Linked DNA regions of Arabidopsis thaliana. The protein of the gene in region 3 interacts with the protein of the main gene of each other region in a pairwise test. Each region holds a gene or a part of one and is shown on either strand. Other genes may lie near its edges. The genes, in order: LSM1B, AT1G04290, AT1G24050 and AT5G54920.

Region 1 (4,416 bases), on a different chromosome or scaffold from region 3:
CTCAGGTGTATCAAGAAGTGCATTAAGAGAGAGGTTTAAGGCATTCAATACAATGTTCGAAGAGGTTCACAGGACTCAGTCCACATGGTCGGTTCCAGATGCTCAGCTTAGAGAAGAACTCCGAATATCGCTATCCGAGCATCTAATCCCTGCTTATAGATCGTTTCTTGGAAGGTTCAGGGGTCATATAGAGAGTGGAAGACACCCTGAGAACTATTTGAAATATTCGGTTGAAGATATCGAGACCATCGTTCTAGATTTCTTCGAAGGATATACCACACCACCACACTTGAGGAGGCGATAAAAGAAGATCGAAAACCCGAGAGTTCTATCTTCTTTCTTTCGTTTTTCAGTCACATTAGGATGTCATAGAAATAGAACCATTCTTTGAATTTTTATTCACGGGTTTCCTGCCCGGTGGAATAATCTCCAGGTGAACATATTTGTGTGTTGTTGTTTGTGCCATATGTCTTCTATTTATAAAAGTCCTGATTGATCACAGAACCAATAAGTACCATGTAAATTTTGCAATGTGCGACGTCCTCTACTCATTTGCTCCATTTTTGTTCCGTTTGGTAGTAGCCATAGGCAAGCTCCTTGTTTAAAAGTTCCAAAATAGAGAAAGAAATTGCTTAACATTTTTTTCTTAAAAAGGTAAATAGATCCAAAGACAAAAGTACACAGATTTATTGTCATATTCATCCAAAATGAAACACAAGAATTGCGTCGATCCCCTAAGTCAACACACCAAAAAGGCTCATCATAAAACTTGCGAGCCAAAGCAGAGCATCAAGCCAATAATGAATGGGGATACAATCTGGTTTAATCAAAGTCAAGAAACTCCATTCTCTTCCTCATTGTTCCTCTCAGCTCACTCGCTTCCCTCTCCACCTTTTGTGCCTGCATCAACAGACAGATTCCCGAAAACCAAATCATCAGCACGCACACAGCATCACAAATGAATCAAATTTGGCTAATCAAAATGAACATGTTATGCGATGTCTTACCCTTTTAATCTCTGCCTCTGAGACGCGAATCATATGTGGAGGAAGCTCTTCTCTCTCCGTGTCCTAATACATAGTTTAAGGTCAAACTCAGTGAATTGGAAAACACGAGGTGACACAGCAAGAAAAGACAAACAAGGAGAAGTCTTACCAGCTCACCAATCAAAACAACATTCTCTCCACGGATTACATAGAGGCCTAAAGGAATGTCACAGTATTGTTCACCAACAATTACCCTCTCACACGCACCTTCTAGAACCGCATTGGCTGTGTATTTACAACGAACAAAAAAAAGTCAAATCTCTCCCGCTCATCAACAATATCGTAAATCTAGAAACATGGAAAGAAAAGTGAATACCGAATTGATCAAAGGAACGGAGTGTTCCCATTAGCTTTCTACCATCTCTAAGAAGCACAAGTAGTTTTCCTGCATCATCAAGAGCAGAGCCAACATACATAAGTAACTGATGCACATTGATTCATATCTAAAAAAGAAAACGGTACGCCAAATGAGATTGAGAACTAACTCATAGCCCAAAAACATCAGCAAAAGAAGATCATTGACTTTTAAACTCAAAGAACCAACATCAAAAAGCCGATAGTGAATTAAATTTCAACAAAGGTTAAAGTTTATACTTCGTAAGTTGAATAAAGAGTGAGCCAGCAACCTCAATCACATCTAATCTCTCACGCATGCTAAAATTTAGCTTGACAACAATAACTGATGAACAGTTAGATTTGACCCAATTAAAAAAAAACTAAAGCTTTGATTCAATAATCAATATCTTAATCAATGAATGTCTCTTTGAGACAATTCAACACCAAAATTGACAAGCTTTGGATACAGCCACAAAATAGTACAGCCTATATATCAATAAGAAGTCAAAATCAAACGTCAAAAAAACAGAGAATTGTTTGCAAAATTGAGCTCCCAAATGCGTACAGAGCCATCACGGCCAATTATTTTAACTACATGCATTCATACGGTTCAACAAATATGTGAAACAGAGAGAAAGAGAGACGGATTTACTATCGAGATAACTAGCGAGTGATGTTGAAAGATAAATTTCTTCAGGACCAGCCCACGACATCGCCACTGACTTTGAAATTGAAGAAAACTTTCGGTCTTTCTATAGAACACTACCGATGATAATAATGTTCGTCAGATTCCAGCTGAAGAGATAAGATTTGGCTATTGAACGCGAACTTTGACAGGAAAAAAAAAAAGTGAAGACGGAAAGAGAAATCTAAATTAGGGTTTTGACCAAAGGGTTTAAATTGATAAAGTGATTAAAAAAGATTGAGACTTTCGACACCTGATCGAAGACGGACACGGGTTCTTCAAAAAAATATAAAACCCAGATCCGATCGAACTTTGGCTGAGAAAATTTGTTTGTGGAAAATTCGAAGAGAAAACTAGCGAGCAAATCCGTCCACTGTCCCTTTTTTATTATTTTCAAGCAATGTCCACGATTTCTTAACTCGATAGATAAGACGTTGTACTTTAATACTTTAAGCACTTTCCAATTTAATGTTAAATTTCCTAATAATTATTGTGACTGAATGTTTCTTAAATAAATGAGACTAATCTTCCAAGCTAATAAAATATCTGTTTCGAATAAATTTTAATTTATGGACCAAAAAAGTCGATTTAACACTATTATTATTTACTGCTTGATTTATGTTAAAACGCTTTTATGGGTAAGTCATCCAATAATATATTCCCACGTAAGCATCAGATCTCGGCGGCGCGAAACTACGCGGCGTTCGCTTAGCACAAAAACGTAGCGCAGTTTATTTAAAGCAAAACAAAAAATTCTGTTTTCACACTTTTGCATTGCAGCATCTTGTAGCTAACAACATCATCGGAGAGAAAGCAGCTTCCCCTTCCCGGAGATATCGTACATAAGCTAAAGCAACCTTAACCTTCCTTCTCCACTGTAAAACCCTCAAATTAAGGTCACGATTTCGTCTTATTTTTCCAGGTTTGATTCACAAAGAACTTCGTGTTTTAACGATGCTATTCTTGGGGTAGGATTTAGGGTTTTGTTTCTATAGTTCACCGATCCTGTTCAATTTTAAGCTAAATCACATTCAATTTTATGATTTGCATCGGTTAAAAGACGCGATAGTTATCAGGAGTAGGGTTTGTTGTGGTATTCGAGAAGTTTCAGGAAAGTGAGAGTTTTCTATTAATGGCTTCTTTTTTTTGTATCCCGAATTCTTTGGGGTTAATTGGTGAAAAGAATGTTCTTTGTACGAAATTATATCCAATTTTCCAGCTTTACATGTTTTTGGAGATTTCTGGAATAAGTCTGAGATACTTAAGAACGCATCTGGAGATTGAAATTGTGGCATCCAATGTAGTTTCAATCGATTTTGTCTTTAAATTTTGTATTCTTATTAGATTGAGTTTCGTCTTGGATTGAGCGAATTTGTTTCATTGATGATTTTAGGGATAGATTGATCATGGCAACTGCAACTATGGCAACAGCAGCTGGAGCAGCTGCTCTTTTATATTACACGTTGAATCGGAAATTAATAGCTGGTCCATCTGACGTTGACGATGAGAATTCTGAAGCTTCTGCTTCTCGTCCTTCTTTGAGGATTGACCGTGTTTCGCATAGGCTTATTCAAGCTCCGGCAACTTGGTTGGAGACTATTTCTACTCTTTCTGAGACTCTTCGTTTTACTTACTCTGAGACTCTTGGGAAGTGGCCTATTGGTGATCTTGCGTTTGGGATCAATTTTCTCATCAAGAGGCAGGTATAACATCTCTTCATCGTTTTAACGGTCTTAAGTTCTGGATTTTTTTCTAATTATCTTGTGGTCAAAATTGAACTTTTTGTAATTGTGTACCTAAAACCGTAGGGACTTCTACATGTTGATCGTGTCTTTGGTGGTAAAGATAGTGTAGAACTTAGAGGATCAGAAGTAGCCACTGAACTCAAATATCTTTTGCACTTGTTGACATTGTGTTGGCATTTTTCCAAGAAGTCGTTTCCGTTTTTCTTAGAAGAGACCGGCTTTACAAAGGAAAATGTCCTTATTCATGAACCCAAAGCTGGGGTAAACTTTAACAACTCTCAACTCTTAGGCACTTTTTCAACATAGAAATTGAGAAGTTTAGTTTTGAATTTTGCACCATGTAGATATTGAAGCCAGCTTTTACGGTTCTTGTCGATCACAATACAAAATATTTTCTGTTATTGATTCGTGGAACGCATAGCATCAAAGATACCTTGACTGCTGCAACTGGAGCAATCGTACCGTTCCATCATACTGTTGTAAATGAAAGAGGGGTCAGCAATTTGGTCTTAGGTTATGCTCATTGTGGTATGGTTGCTGCTGCCCGGTGTATAGCTAAACTTGCCACCCCTTGTCTTCTCAAGGGTCTTGAGCAATATCCAGA
Region 2 (4,088 bases), 7.4 Mb from region 3:
CTAGTGGGATTTATTTAATGTTTATTATATAGTACTACTAGCTACTACTAGATATTAATATTATATGAAATTTGATATCATGCATGATGTGGTAATTTAATGATGACTTGACTTATTGCGGATGGGGTGGTTTTTCAAAGTATGATTGCCAAAATGACTAGTGATTTAATTGTTTATCTATGCATAATGTAATTCATCGTCTAATAGATACAGTAATAACATAAACTAACAAAAAAAGATCAAAAGTATGAAACCAACATATCTCAACTAATATTCTTTTTCGACAAAACTGATCACATCACCTGCGTCATTTTCCTTTGTTCAGTATTCTATTCCCCTTTTCTTTTGAATCAAAGGTCATATACTCGTGTGGCTCATATATTTGATAAAAGTTTAAGAAGAAAGAAAGGGAGTATTTTGATGATAAAAATACATGAATTTTGGTTCAAATAAGAGCTACAAAGTTTGATAATATACATGAACACTGATTAAATTTGATTAATGAATTCATGTGTCTATGTTAATTTGAATTTTGCTTCACATACATTAACAAAAGTAGTAACAGAAGATCTACATATCTGTTGGATGTGAGAAAACAGTAAAAGAAAAGGCAGGAATGAACAACTTGATTGAAATAATTGGATGGTACCAACTTTGTATCAAAACTTAAAGTAATCATAATGCGAAACTAAAAATAGTGAAACATAAACAATTCTAATAAGTTACCACCACAAACCTCATCAATACTTTACAAATGCATCATCACCTTGAAATGATCATCATATTCACAGTAACAAATATATAAGCCAAATTTTTTAAACAGGATCTATCTGTATATTAAAAAAAAAGCTTAGTTCAACATCGAGGTAAACACATATAGAGAAAAAGTAAGGTTGTTTGTATTATTAGAAAAACATATAGTAATGTAGTTTTATTAGTATCAATAATAATAAGAAGCAAATGGGACAAAGACTAAAAACACCTTGATGTTGTTTATTGAATGTAAAAAAGAAGAAAGGTTGGTTGAACGATCAAAGGTTGGAACGAGGAGCAAAGTACTTGGTATGACGACCTTGAGCAATAATCTTACCAGTCGTCTTCTTCCTCAGCTCCACACTCACTACTGCTACAGCTTTACCAACACGCAATGCCTTTGATTCTATCTCTATCTCTTCCTGTGTTTTTTTTTATATATATGTCAATCAATTTTGCAAAGAAAGACATCTAATAAATTTAAGAAAGAAGGAAAGGAAGTTACATCGAGAAAAGCAGCATCAAGGTATGAAACATTGATCTCCACTGAAACTCCGGAATGTGAAGCTCCGGCTGTGTAGATCACTGCTGATCCTATCAAATCCACCAGCGTCGCCGTTGCTCCTCCGTGTAAGAATTTCCCTGCGTTCTTTCCTCAACAAATTCACAAAAGTCATTAGGGATTCTTTTTTTCTCGAAATTAGGGATTTGTTGTTCATGTGGTTGTTACCAGGAGATGAGGAGGGATTTTCATGGAGCAGACGATACGGCCAGGTTCGATGAGATCCACTTTAAGACCATTGGTTACGAATCGTTCGAGGAATCTGTGTGGTAATTTCGCCACCATTGGTTCCTTGGCCTTTTCGTCTTCATCTCCTTCCAGATACTTTTTCACCGATTCTAGATCCATTCTCTTCTTCTTTCCCTTTTCTTTTTCCGTATCAACACCTTTTGAGGGTTTTTTTTTTAAATCGAAAATTTTTTGATATGAATCAGATTTAAATGGCTCACATTTTTTTCTAGTTTTTACTCATTCAAATAAAGAAGTGATCTAATCAAATTAGACAAAGAAAGAAAAAAATAAATTAGACAAAAAAACACACACACACACACATTTTATATTAGACAGATTTCAGTTTCTTTTGATTAAAGATAAAGAGGAGTATAATTTATTTATAAAAACTATTCAGGGACTTTCAGGGAAGAGTTTTTCTATGCGAAAACTATCTTATACTATATTTAAAAAAAAAAAAACCATTTGAAACGTAGAGGATGACAAGAAGACAACTCTCTTTACACAAATTGTATATTCATGATTTTTTTTCCTTTTTAAAAAAAATAAAAACATTACAAATCCCCTCTCTCCATTTGCTGATCAATGACCATTCGATGGCCTGAACTCGGTGTAGCCATTAATACCAGACGTAAAACTTGGATTCGAAGCGTCCAAACCAAAGTAACTGTGATGGTAATTAGCTGCTGATGATGTTCCATCTTCCATTCCATTGCTCCTCATTGCTGGCAACGACAAGTCCATGTTCGTCATTTGCCACTGTCTCGGCATCATTCCGTCTGTACCATATGGTCCACGTGCCATGTAATGCAATCCTTCCTCTCCGAAACTCCTGGTCCTGCCACCAGACAATAACTCACCATGGTATGATGAGTACTGCCCGTTGAACACTTGCGGTTGTGGATTGAATATGCTTCCGTTATACACCATGTTGCTGCACTGTTCGTCTTCCAGCAGATCATTGATGATGTCTAGGTGAGGGAACTCATCCGTCATCATGCTTTGTGCTTGTTGCTGCGCTATCTGAACGTCCATGTGGTTCAGCGATCTGTTGCTAGTAACGGCGGGTGAGTAAGTGTTGTTGTACATGCCCATGTTTACAGAACTGGGACTTCTTCCTGTCCACAAGAGCCCATCTTGACTGTAAGGGAAGCTTGACTGATAAGATGATGTTGGTGCTTGCGAGTAAGATGATGATGGCAATGTGGTCGGGACAACTCCATGAGAGCTTGGGTGGTGGTTGAAACTAGATGATGATGAACCAAGAGAGTTACCGACTATAGCGTTTTTATAGGATTGAGGAGTGTATGTTTGTTGGTTGTGTAGGGATGGATCTGGACCTAGACGACCAGCTGAGCTAACCGAACGAGGAAGGGATGTTGTTGTTTGAACTGAGGAAGAGACGGTGATTGGGGAGGGTCGCATCGCAGGGATTATTGGAGCACTGGAAGGCCTTGATATAGTTGTTGCTGGTGGTTGTTTTGGAGCAGAGAGTTTTTGCATATCAGCTCTGAGACCAACAGTTTGCGACTGAATATCTGAAGGAAGCACTACTTGGCTTGATGAAGGTGGTCCAGTTGCCAGTACTTTCCTGTTTGGAATACCGTCTGCGGTTGAAATGCTCTTTTTCTCCGGTTTTGTCTGAGTTAATGGTGAAGGATTCTTGGCAACATTTCTGGGAGAAGAAAGTACAGCAGTGCTTTTCTCTTTAGGTCGATCCATGTCGACCGAGTTCACAATGGATTGAACCGTTTTGCGTTCCTGCAAAATGAATTTGAAAAAGGGACAACTAAATTGTGAAATTCTGGACCTCTTTGCACGAAACCAATAATTCAATCAGCGATCTTCTAATTTCAAAACATTAAAAGCATGAATGACGAACCCTCCCAACAGGAATACGATTTCGAGAACCCTCTGGCTCCTGGATGTGGGAGACAACAACCCAATCAGATTCACCAACGTTGCTTGCCTCGGAAGAATAATTCTGACCCTTGGGGTCTGTTCCAAGTGTTGAGGGTTGATCATCTGTTTCACTCGCTAAACTGTGGGCATCAGTCATTGCTTTCACTTGTTGGTTCTTTCCTCTGCAAGTCACAAAGCGTATCACTAAGGATTCAGGACTGACAAGAAACAAAGGACAGCCGAAACAAACTTACTTGTTCGGCGACTTCTGGTTTCGGAAATTCAAGGAATTCCCTTGGTAGGACCCATTGGTTACCCCCGATCGGATAGAATCATTAGAACAAGTTGAAGAACTATCATCCATAGTGGAATGACTCTTTCCTTCTGTAATTCCATTGGGTGTAGATATCGAAATGCCTCTTCCTCTACTGCTCCCTTCTGATGATGGAGGATGAATTTCCAAGGCATCAGTATCCCAAAGAACAGAACTACTATCCCTATCTTCTAAATCAGGCTGAAGAATGTCAGCCGAACCATCCACAGAATCAGATATGTCGGACACATCTCCAAGAGTATCAGGCTTTTCAGCTGAAGATTGTGCTTTCTCCGTGACAGAATCCTTTTCTTCCTCATCGTTTTG
Region 3 (4,396 bases):
ATACTAATTATGAATTACCGGATAATTTCAATTCAACTTCCAGCTAGGAAACTTTGATCAAGCGATATTATTTGGATATATATACTATAATTTCACTAAGAAAATCAAGCACTAGATGTATCCGTATAGTATGTTGTATTTGCTGCTATGAATGTTTTGCTTTAAGAGAAATGAGTACATAAATTCAGGGGTGTAGTCTTGTTTTTTCTTTCCTTCTTTCGCCTAATGCCTAAAGAATTAACCACATGTCTATGAACAAGAAATACAATCGCTGCCAATACAGGAAGCAGATAACAAAGATAAGAGTGTGTGTGGAGTACCTCTACTAAGATCATATAAACAATAGGTCGAAGCAAACGGGATTATCAACCCGACCCTTGGTCATGTCACATTTAGCTCCTACATAATAAAGCCAATCACAATGTTTGTTATAAATTCAGAAAAGGTTGAGAAGAAGACTAAAAGCTAATTGGTACACTGATGGAAAAACTGTACCCATGTTTACACATTTGCAGAGGAGGTCAGCTCATTATCAGACCCCACCATTTCTACTATAGGATTGGTGCATAGTGGAAGAAGTTTCTTCCGCATCAAATGCTTACGCCGCTGTAACATCAGAAGGACCAAAACTGTATCTGTCTTAACAACCTCGTATCCTGCCTTCTTGTACATATTGAAAGGAGCCTCATCAACCATCCTACAATGCAAGTATACATCTTTTGATGGACTAATCTGAGATATCAGTTCCTCACTCGCCTTCAACAAATGCCACCCAATTCCTCTCCTTCTAAGATCCTCTTTGACAGTCATGTTACAGATATAAGGTGATTCCTTAGGAGGAGTTGGAGAAGGAGGAGAAGCATTAGCGCCTCGTTTCTCCAAACAAACCTCAACAGTTCCAGCCATCACAGCCTCCTCCTCTCCATCATCACTAAACTCATCAACTTTTTTCCTAAAGAAACCAACTAAAGTAACTGCGTGTGGCAACACTTCTCTTCTCTCAATCAAATACTGCTTAATCAAAAACCGTAACACAGACTGATAACCAGAAGGTAATAACATCGATTCACCAAATGACTCAGCCAATAGATGCACCGTTGAATCCATCTCTTCATGTCTCATAACTCGAACCCACATCGATCCAGATTCAAGCTCTTGAAAATACGCAAATCCTTCAAGAGTTTTAAGCTTCTCTAACTCATCGTTACTCAAAAACCTCCCGGTACGAAACGATTCCTCTAGAAACGCGTAATTCCCGGTCGATTTAGAGTTTTCTTCTCCAGTTTCTGTAGCTGTCGAAACTGAAGAAGGAGGGAAAGCGAATCTGAGATTGGAGCGGTGAGATTTACACGAGTAGAGTAATGGATATCTATGTGAAGAAGACGAGAAGCCAAACTTCGTTGATTGGGTTGGTTTGAGAGAATCAACAGAGAAAGCTAGTGAGATGCTTAAAGCCGCCATTGACACACACACACACGATTTTCTCCGATTTGATTGTGGTTCAGTGTTCGCTAATCTGTTTATAACGAAATAAAATGGATAAAGTAACAGTCATACACTAATCTTTAAAACGCCGCGTTTTGAACTAATCATGAAGCTCAGTAGTTATTGGGCCCTTATGGCCCATATACTGATATAAAAATGAGGAAACTGTTATAAGCCAGTAGCTATTTGGGCTTAAGGCCCATATTGCGATATATATAGTTTTAATTTTTCCGAAGTTCGGCGATTTCAGAAGACGGAGGAGGAGCGAGGACGGCCGCCATGGATCCAGCAGGAGCATCGGTGGCCAGCGCAATCGGAGGAGAAGGAGAGAAATTCGCGGTGGGGAATATTTATTCAGTGAAGGTGATCACCGGAGATGAGTTCAGAGGGATCGTCATGGCTTACGACCCCATCCCCAACTTCGTCTTTTTTGATATCCTTAATTTCTTTAATTGTTTGTTTCATCAAAATTTGAGATTTAGGTATTTTCAATGTCTTGACCTGAATTGTGTTATCCTTGACGAGTTATTGGTTATTACAAGAGGGTACAAAACCTAGACCTGGGCATTTGAAGAACACTCGGATGGTGAATGCGAGTTTTATTACAGGGCTTTCGTATTTAGGCAAAACTGAAGATCCACTTGATTCAGACAACTTTTCTGTTGATCTTAATGGTCTCCGAGCTAAAGAGGCACTTGCTATCAGGTGATAAGATATTTTGTTGTTGAATCCTTTCAAAATGCAATTTTTATTGCTATTTGCTTGTTTTGAGCTTACTTGGGAAAACGTATTGAGCACAGGCAAGCGGAAGCAGATGCTGAAAGAATGGGAGTTGGTGTTACCGCTGAGGCTCAGAGCATCTTCGACGCGTTGTCTAAGACGTAAGGATCTTCTCTTTTTATACGTTTTCGGATCGAAAAATAAGCTAATCTCTAAGAAGGAAACACAGCTTAGAGTATACGGTAGAGAGGTGGGACGAGATCGTAATCTAATGTTGTTTAGTTGAACTATTAGTTCTTTGTAAACAATTGCTTGGGTTGGAGGATTTTGTTTTGTGCGTCTAATGTGTTATTCCCAAAGATAAATTGTTAGGATCTGGACATGATTTAGTGTTGTTTTGCTCTTGGTTTCCGGTGATGCTAGTTTGCAACTATATATATGTAAAGTTTCTATGTTTGTGGTTGTTGTAGATTACATATGTTGTGGGCTCTAGTGTCAAGTATCTTTAGTCTTCTTTGTGATACTGATACAGTTAAGAAGCTGTCTAGATACATAGTTTTAGACTACATAAATCCTTAAACTTTCTTTGTTTGAATTTGCTTTTTCTCTTTCGAATGAATCACATGTGAATTATTTTCCTTTTAGGCTTCCTGTGCAATGGGAAAACTCAGACATTCTGGTGATGAAAGAGGTACGCGTTCGTAGCCCGTATCTTTCAGATTGTGTCTTTGGAGGAACTGATGCTGCCAACAACCGAGTCAAGAAAGTGGTAAGCGTCACTTTCAGTTCATTGTGTAATGCCAATTAAGCCTCTGGTGTTATATTAGTCATTTGCATTCAATCGTGTAACGTTGATCAAGCCTTGGGTGTGATAGTAATGCAATTTTGCTTTTATCGCAGCTTGAGCTGGAAAGACGAAGGTTGCAACTCTTTGGCACATGAGGCTAGTGAAAAGAGTCGGTCAGTGAAATAGCGAGAAAGGGTTCGTTGCTACTAACCCGAAAGGCGTCTATAGATCTGATCGACCAGCGAAAAGCGGATATGTTTGCTTTTCGCATGTTGTTGTCTTTACTTAGAATCTGCTTGTCCTTGTAAAAGCAGATTAGAGATTTCTTGAGTTACAGCCTTACAGGGATTGAAATTTGGACTAATTTCACCCTGGTTATTGACAAGAACAGTGAGGTCTTGTCTTGTCCACTTTTTACCAGGGCTTGGTTTATTTATCGCCTGGAACTGTAAACTATTCTGAAATGTTGAACTACTTTTTAGTGACTTCTCCGGTAGATTTTTACATCTCGTGTGCTCTAGAACTGAGTTCCTTGATCAATGCAAAAGTTATAAGAAATATTTTTCTGTTGATTGTTAGTATTGAACTGTGTATAGATTCCAATGATGATCATAATAGACCGTGGTGATGTATAAAACCATCTTATTCGATACACAACATATACAACTATGGACACAACTACTTTGCGTTTGGGTGATCAAGCGTGAGCTAACTTGTTGATTAGAAACCAACATTGATGCTACATGCGAATGAAATTTTACGTTACGACTAAGCTAACTCTGGATAAGCGCTTGCATGAGGAGATGGAGATATAACAATGATCACTCAGGTTGCTTGATATCATTTGAATCAAAGCTTTAAGAATGTTGTAAATTGAATCCAAAAACTAGTAAGACAATGTGTTAATTCAACATTGGAACTTATAAGTATCATAGATCGACGCGAGAGTTCTGCTTCTAACAGATACTTATCACCAAAACCTTAACCTATCTTTAGTGCAAAACACCACTAAACTATGAGCCACAAAAATTATTAAGAAGGCAACAAAAACCCTACTAAGAAGCCAAAGGAAACAATCCACACACTTGCTTCTAATCTTCTACTTGTTGAGTATTTCGCTGAGATTGAGTTGCTTTCTTTAGCAATCCACTACTAACACAAGCCTGAAAACACAACCATTTACCAGCAAGAAGACACCACCACAGCAACAGTGTAACATTACTGAACTCAAGATGAAAAGAGACTAACCTGAAGAGCTCTCTTACCACATGAACGAGAATTGTGCCCTGCTTGACCACATTTATTACAATGTATTGTGCGCTTGCTAAGTTTCCCCTTTTTCTTAGGTGGAGACACATTCTTTCCTTTCCTCTTTCGCTTCTTCGATGGAGACTCACAACAAGT
Region 4 (6,572 bases), on a different chromosome or scaffold from region 3:
CTGCAACTTTTGGTTGTTTGCCTGTGTGACAAATTTTTTTACAGTCAAATGTTTCCAACCACAGTCGAAACTCAAAGAAAATTGAGGACGGGAGCTACTACCTTGATGAGTTTTATAGGCACTTTAGCTTCTTGTAATTTCTCAATCATTTTTTCCTCTGAAGGTGTCAGAAAGAGGAGCGACTTCCCTTGAGTATAGAAACGAGCTGTACGCCCAACCCGGTGAATATAAGAAGCTACATCTTCAGGACAATCCACCTATAAAATAAATATGATGACATCACACTTCAGCCCGACAAGATCATAGAGTTTTGTAATTCTGGATGTGGATTCATACCTGAACAACCCAGTCCACAGCCTTATCAAAATCAAGACCTCTAGCAAGAACATCAGTACAGAACAGAACTGATTGTCTCTCAATGAACTGAGAGTACACTCCCATCCTTTTTTCCTGACTCATTTTTCCATGAAGACTCTTCAAAGGTATTCCAGGCCGGAGCTTGTTGAATGCTTCATGCACAAATTTGACCTGCCAGGATTGTGATCCGTTTGTCAATCTCAAGATAGAAGAAAGTGGCAGAATGAAAGTGAACACACTATCTCCATGTAGATTATTCAAAGAGGAAGAGAGGTAATATAATATAACCTGTTTCTTGGTGGAGAGGAAAACAAGAATCCTGGAATTAAGGTGAGTTTTGATGAAACTCCATAACATGTCTAATTTCTTTTCAACTGGGACAATCATCACAGTCTGCATCAAGGAAGTTGGAGTAGCTGTAACCGCCTCTGCATGTACACTAATGTACTCAGGATCTCTCAAACTGAGTCTTGCTAGATCCTTGACTTTCTTAGTTTGAGTTGCAGAGAAAAGCAAAGTTTGTCTGTGCTTAGGCAACTGTGAGATTATAGGATCCAACTGCCCCTTGAACGCAGAATCAAGGACACGGTCGGCCTCATCTAAAATCAGAATCTGCAGCAAAAGAGAACACTTACTAGGCATTTGTAAACAATAAGACTGAAGAAATTTGGCAGACAGAAACATAGTCGAAGTGGTTTTACGGTATCCTTATTTGCAAATATAACCATCCTAATGTTCATAAACGTGTAGGAGAAAGGCATCATGGACAAGTATTATAGAGTTAACAACACAAAATGCCCAAATGTTCTGTAGCTGAAACATTTCATTAAAATAAGGATAGTGAAAACATAAACAAATATGGTCATCATTACCTGAAGCTGTGGACATTCGAAGTTTGGAGTCTCATCCATGTGCTGAAGAAGCCTACCAGGAGCACACACCAAAATATTCATCTCATGAACTCTCTCCTTCTCAACATCAACTCCTTCACGACCACCAATTAAGAGCCCCGCACTAAACTTATGAAACTTTCCTACTTTATTCAAAACACCGAATGTCTGGGCTGCCAATTCCCTTGTTGGAGATATAATTATACATCCCACACCATCTTCAGGACTCCATCTCTCCCTATGTAACTTCTCCAGAATCTAAAACACACAAAAATAATCCATTAGCATCTATCAAAAATCAAAGCTGATCAAGATACAAAGCTACACACACAGCAATAAACTCTATCGAAAAATCGAAACTTTACCGGAATAACAAAAGCCAGAGTTTTGCCAGACCCAGTTCTAGCAGCACCAAGAATATCTCTTCCACATAAAGCATGAGGAATAGCAGCACTCTGAACATCAGTCATATCAACGTATTTCGCATCTTTCAATCCTCTTTTCGTTTTATCCGATATAGGTAACTGAGCAAACTTCCTCACACCTGCATACCGAGAGAAAACGGTGCCGTTTTTGCCGTCTTCGGACTTTCCGATCTTCGAATCTTTAGGAAGAGGACGCAATGAAAGTGGATTGAATCCTGAATCCGGTTTCTGTGATTCGATCCACTGCTTCAGAAGATTTATTTCTTCGACTTCGTTGAGACGAATCTGCTTCCTCATTCCCTTAGTCTTCTTAATTTTTACCATCTTGACACAAACACGAAGTTAGAGCTCCAGATATGGAAAGCTTACGACTTGAGAGGCTAGAATTTGCAAAAGAGCAGACAAAAGTTAGGGTTTTAAGATTTGATAGATACACAAGAAGATGTTGAAGCAGCCAATTGAAGGGTTTAACGATGAGTGACGATGCTTTTTTTAATTACCAAAAAAACTAATCTAGGCCCAATAAGGATACACAAAGGCCCAATAACAAAGCATTTTTTTTTTCGCTTCCCTCGTCTATCTTCTCTGGATCTCTTCTGATTCTCGAATCCCTATTTGTCTTCGTCTTCTTTTGTTGTGAACTTGCGATACATATATATATAGATGCGAGTACACCGGACTGTGAAATTTTGGAACGAATTGATTTGATTTGAATATGGCAATCGCGAAGAAATTGGAAAATGAGATCTCACGCTCTTCTCCTTCGTCATCATCATCATCGCTGAACGAAGCTCTGTTAATCTCTACTATGTGTATCATCGGCTTACAAGTCCATGTGCATATCAACGATGGCTCTGTGTTTTCTGGGATATTCTACACTGTCTCTCTTGAGAATGAATTCAGTACGTTTCCTTTTGGTTTAATGTGGTTTTGATTTGGTAATTTGTGTTTTCGTTGATGAAATTGGTCTTTGAATTTGTGTCGGAGATCACAGAGATTTGATTAGGATCTTACGAAATTATGCTCATTACTTAATTGGTGGTGTGAATCATTCATTGTAACATTGCTAGTTTTTTTTCGATTTGTGTAGCATTTTGGTCTGTTTGACTGTTTCTGAATTTTACTGGTTTGATTCTGAATTTAGGTATTGTGTTGAAGAATGCAAAACTTACTAAGAAGGGAAGAAGTAAATCGAATGTAGAAAGTGGGAAGATTGTGGAGACACTTGTGATTTTGTCTTCCAATATTGTTCAAATTGTTGCAGAGGTTGGTCTTTTTTTCTATGGTGATTTTACTTGTAGAGATTCGTTTAAAGCCAGATTGTGTGACTTTCTTATTTTTATTTTCATAGGGAGTCTCGCTTTCGTCCAATGTTGCAGGGGAGATTGAGGGTGAAAATGTCGTGTCGGCCGTGGCAGTTTCTTCCTTCAATTCTGGCAAGAACAGAAGGGGCACTAATCGTAGAAGGTAACCTTTGTAGTTAATGTTGTTATAAGTTCATATTTAGATAGAAAAGTTAGAAGGTTAAGGATTATGAATCTTGTTTTGCTCCTCGCAGTCTCTTGTCTTTTAGTTTTGTGTCGATTTGTTCTATGGCTTTATGATTTTTTTTTTTAATCTCTTTAATTTATGAAATAGGAATTCCGCGAAACGTGAAAATTGTTTGGAAAGTAAAGCAAGAACCTTGACATCTGGGGAGACCGCAGGTGCCATGAAAGAGCCAGGGAGAAGAGATGAGGTTGGTATTTTACAGGTAGCTTTGTCTTGTTTGTATTGTGGAATTTAACTAAGTAATTCTCCTATTGTTGTGGGAACTGGTGATAGAGTTGATGTCTAGCTCACAAGGTCCATGGGCCCTTGTGTCTCCCCAAGATGGAAGTTAAAGCCAGCCTCCATTTAGTAGGATGTAATGGGTTGACATTAAAGTAGATGACTTGGTTTTCGGTTTCTGTAATGGGTTGACTTTAAAATAGATGCCTTGCCTAGAGTCATTAGTTAACATCTTGTCATGTTGTTTAATTCAGCTTTCACAGTCTGAGTCCCTTTCTTGGTTTTCACTCTCTTGATTCCTTTTCCAATTTCCTCTTTTGCAGAACAAATATCATCCTAGCTCACTGAACCATCAACGGTATGGATCATAAGTATACTGTTTTTGGTATATAATTAGTGTCCTGTTAAAATCTTTATCTCCGTCTTAATATTTGCCAATATGTAACCAAACTTCTACTTATATATCAGTTTTAGCTATCTAGTTTTCTGGCTACAATAAACCTCTCTGTGCTCAGTAGGTAACTCTCTGATTCTTGTATATTCTTTTGCTGACAGACAGGCAGGAGTCCGCATTTTGAAGAATAGCAAAAAAATTACTGATGTTCATCAGGAGGATAACGTTAGTCTTGCACATAATTGGTTCATTCTGTTTTTCAAGATATTGCTCAGCAGCTGCTTATTATTATATTTACCTATTGCAGGTTGAAGCCAGAAGCTCAAGTTGTAGCTGTGAGTTCCTTTTTGGGAAAAACTTTTTTATTTTACTTACAGAACCATGATGAACTCTTTTCTGCTTCCTTTTTGACAAGAAAATGTTTCCTGACATGTGTCTCATCACGTGTTATAATGACAGTGGACAACATGTCTGAACGTGTAAAGCCGATAGAACAAGAGAAAATGCCGGAACCTTCTAGTAATGGTTTTCACGATGCTACGGAGAGACCCTCGTCAACTGAAAATTCTTCATCACAGAGCACTACTGTGGATGAAAACTCAGAAGTGAGTCTGGTTTTGGTGGTATCTACAAATAGCTTACCACCTACGCAGGCAACAGACCCTGACAAGAAGGCTAAGGTGATAAAGAATTCGTATTGGTTTCTCATATTCAGAATATATGTTAGTTTGAGATGCTCGTTTCTTGGTTATGGCAGCTTGATGACTTGTGCATTGTTTCATCTTACTTTATTTGTTACTCGTTTTTGAATTCAGGAGTTTAAACTGAATCCAGGAGCAAAGACTTTTTCCCCATCTCTTGCAAAACGTCTTACATCAGCTCATGCCGGTATGACGCCTGTTGTTGCGAATATGGGTTATGTGCCAAGCAATACTCCTATGTTACCAGTTCCAGAAGCTGTTCAACCAGAAATTGGAATCAGCCCTTTCTTGTCTCATGCATCTTCACCTTCCAAGTTTGTTCCGTACACTAATTTGGCTACTGGAAATGCTGGTGGTGGATCTCATTTTCCCCAACATGTAAGTATTCAACCACAAATGAGGCATCTTCTATTCTCTCTCTCTTTTAATATATCACATTTTTTGGGAACCTTTATTCATCTATTAGCTCAAATGGCTGAAATACCAATATTGCATGACCAGATTGTGAAACTGAGTATTGTTCGCAACCGGTGATTCAAAGTTCTGTGCAATCAATGGATTATTTTTTTCATTTGAACTCATTTTTCTGCAGATGGTTGGACCAACTATTAACAGGGGACAGCCACATAGATTCACCACTCAGTACCATTCTGTTCAACCCACACCAATGCTTGTAAATCCCAATCCTCAGGTTGCATTTCATTAACAACACCATATTCTCACTTCTGTTCATAAAATTGTTTATAAGAATTGAGTGATAGTGTATGAGTTTCTAAATGCTAATTGAATCGTATATTCCAGGTGATGGTCGGGAGATCAGGACAGCTTATGTATATGCAACCAATTTCTCAGGTAAGAAGAACTTGAATAATAATATTATTGTGTACATAAACAATCACATTAGCCTTTTTTGCTTACAAGAAACTCAAATCCGCTTCCCTTTTATGTTCTTATAAGGATTTGGTTCAAGGAGCACCACATAACTCACATTTGCCTCCTCGTCCTCTCTTTACTCCCCAACAGTTTCAGTATCCAAAGCATCAGAGTAAAACATTCTTCTCTGTCCAATTATGGTTTCATGTTAAGTAAGACCAAAGATTTTGGTTTTCACTAAACTTCACTTTCTTGGTAATTCAGGTCTAATCGCAACTGGTCAACCGATGCATCTATATGCTCCACAACCATTTGCAGCCAATGGACATCAGCCTTACACAGTCATGCCTACCGATATTCCGGTTATGCAGTCACCTTTTCCCATTAACCGGGCCATGCCAATTCCGGTTCCTAATGGTTTCTATGGCACAAAGTTTCTATAGAAAGTCTTGTTTTTCATCTTCATTACCTTATTATTTGCCTCCCAGCTTAATAAGTTTTTGATACATAGTTAAAAACCAAAAATTATAGATCCGTCTGATGACTTGGATTTTTTTTCTTTCTCAATGATATACAACTACTAGCTAAAGAAAACAGAAAGAGGAAGTTATGAGCATTTTATATAATGAATCACGATAATTTTGCTGACATCTTTAAGCTAGACAATAGTTAGATTCTGTTTTCCTATTTCTGATTACAATAAGATTGAATCAGACTTTAAGCTCTTAAGGGTTTGCAAGAAGAAATAATAGTCTTCAGAAGATCAATGGCCTTGAGAAAAATGGGTCTCTCTCACATTCTCCTGCACAGCCTAAGACAAATCAAACATGAATCTCTATAGAGAAAACCAAGTAAGCTTGGGATATAATCATTGGTATGGTTGGGTTTAGTACCTGAAGGAGTTCTGTCATCTTGCCTCGTCCGTAACTCGGCATGGGTTTCAGCATATGTACTGGATGGATTGGGTGTATCGCCTGCAATGGCTCAATGGACAGAGCTTGCTCATCTGACTCGGGTTCAACGGACTGTGTTGTGTGCTGGACTTGACCTTTATTCATCACCTGTGTGAGAAGCGTCTCAAAAGGCTTGCCGTTACTCGCTCCACTCGCTTGAGACCCTGTCTCGGTCTGCATGGGACTGTGGTCGATCGGGACCCGCTCAC

The links.
Region 1: the proteins of AT1G24050 (region 3) and LSM1B interact in a two-hybrid assay, tested with the Arabidopsis thaliana proteins (one large-scale study listed by BioGRID).
Region 2: the proteins of AT1G24050 (region 3) and AT1G04290 interact in a two-hybrid assay, tested with the Arabidopsis thaliana proteins (one large-scale study listed by BioGRID).
Region 4: the proteins of AT1G24050 (region 3) and AT5G54920 interact in a two-hybrid assay, tested with the Arabidopsis thaliana proteins (one large-scale study listed by BioGRID).

Annotation. Positions count from the first base shown.
Region 1 is NC_003074.8:4,665,396-4,669,811, reverse strand, and holds LSM1B (Small nuclear ribonucleoprotein family protein), read right to left. Parts: upstream 2,505-4,416; 5' UTR 2,321-2,504; exon of another isoform or gene 2,211-2,320; 5' UTR 2,096-2,210; coding exon 2,035-2,095; intron 1,483-2,034; exon of another isoform or gene 1,463-1,482; coding exon of another isoform or gene 1,432-1,462; coding exon 1,363-1,431; intron 1,272-1,362; coding exon 1,156-1,271; intron 1,071-1,155; coding exon 1,008-1,070; intron 901-1,007; coding exon 823-900; 3' UTR 618-822; downstream 1-617. Other genes in the region: EXO70D3 (exocyst subunit exo70 family protein D3), read left to right, coding at 1-304; AT3G14075 (Mono-/di-acylglycerol lipase, N-terminal;Lipase, class 3), read left to right, coding at 3,474-3,770, 3,876-4,073, 4,157-4,416. UniProt on the Arabidopsis thaliana protein: Component of the cytoplasmic LSM1-LSM7 complex which is involved in mRNA degradation by promoting decapping and leading to accurate 5'-3' mRNA decay.
Region 2 is NC_003070.9:1,146,690-1,150,777, forward strand, and holds AT1G04290 (Thioesterase superfamily protein), read right to left. Parts: upstream 1,845-4,088; 5' UTR 1,664-1,844; coding exon 1,484-1,663; intron 1,403-1,483; coding exon 1,259-1,402; coding exon of another isoform or gene 1,199-1,258; exon of another isoform or gene 1,176-1,198; coding exon 1,032-1,175; 3' UTR 608-1,031; downstream 1-607. Other genes in the region: AT1G04300 (TRAF-like superfamily protein), read right to left, coding at 2,129-3,307, 3,429-3,630, 3,703-4,088.
Region 3 is NC_003070.9:8,505,293-8,509,688, forward strand, and holds AT1G24050 (RNA-processing, Lsm domain-containing protein), read left to right. Parts: upstream 1-1,675; 5' UTR 1,676-1,764; coding exon 1,765-1,918; intron 1,919-2,024; coding exon 2,025-2,190; intron 2,191-2,285; coding exon 2,286-2,366; intron 2,367-2,850; coding exon 2,851-2,974; intron 2,975-3,105; coding exon 3,106-3,147; 3' UTR 3,148-3,617; downstream 3,618-4,396. Other genes in the region: AT1G24040 (Acyl-CoA N-acyltransferases (NAT) superfamily protein), read right to left, coding at 502-1,461.
Region 4 is NC_003076.8:22,299,724-22,306,295, forward strand, and holds AT5G54920 (polyadenylate-binding protein interacting protein), read left to right. Parts: upstream 1-2,276; 5' UTR 2,277-2,387; coding exon 2,388-2,574; intron 2,575-2,816; coding exon 2,817-2,938; intron 2,939-3,023; coding exon 3,024-3,139; intron 3,140-3,310; coding exon 3,311-3,425; intron 3,426-3,765; coding exon 3,766-3,800; intron 3,801-3,997; coding exon 3,998-4,061; intron 4,062-4,143; coding exon 4,144-4,171; intron 4,172-4,295; coding exon 4,296-4,516; intron 4,517-4,651; coding exon 4,652-4,915; intron 4,916-5,129; coding exon 5,130-5,228; intron 5,229-5,338; coding exon 5,339-5,389; intron 5,390-5,494; coding exon 5,495-5,582; intron 5,583-5,674; coding exon 5,675-5,853; 3' UTR 5,854-6,072; downstream 6,073-6,572. Other genes in the region: AT5G54910 (DEA(D/H)-box RNA helicase family protein), read right to left, coding at 1-21, 102-257, 337-528, 646-969, 1,230-1,505, 1,613-1,996; AT5G54930 (AT hook motif-containing protein), read right to left, coding at 6,174-6,221, 6,304-6,572.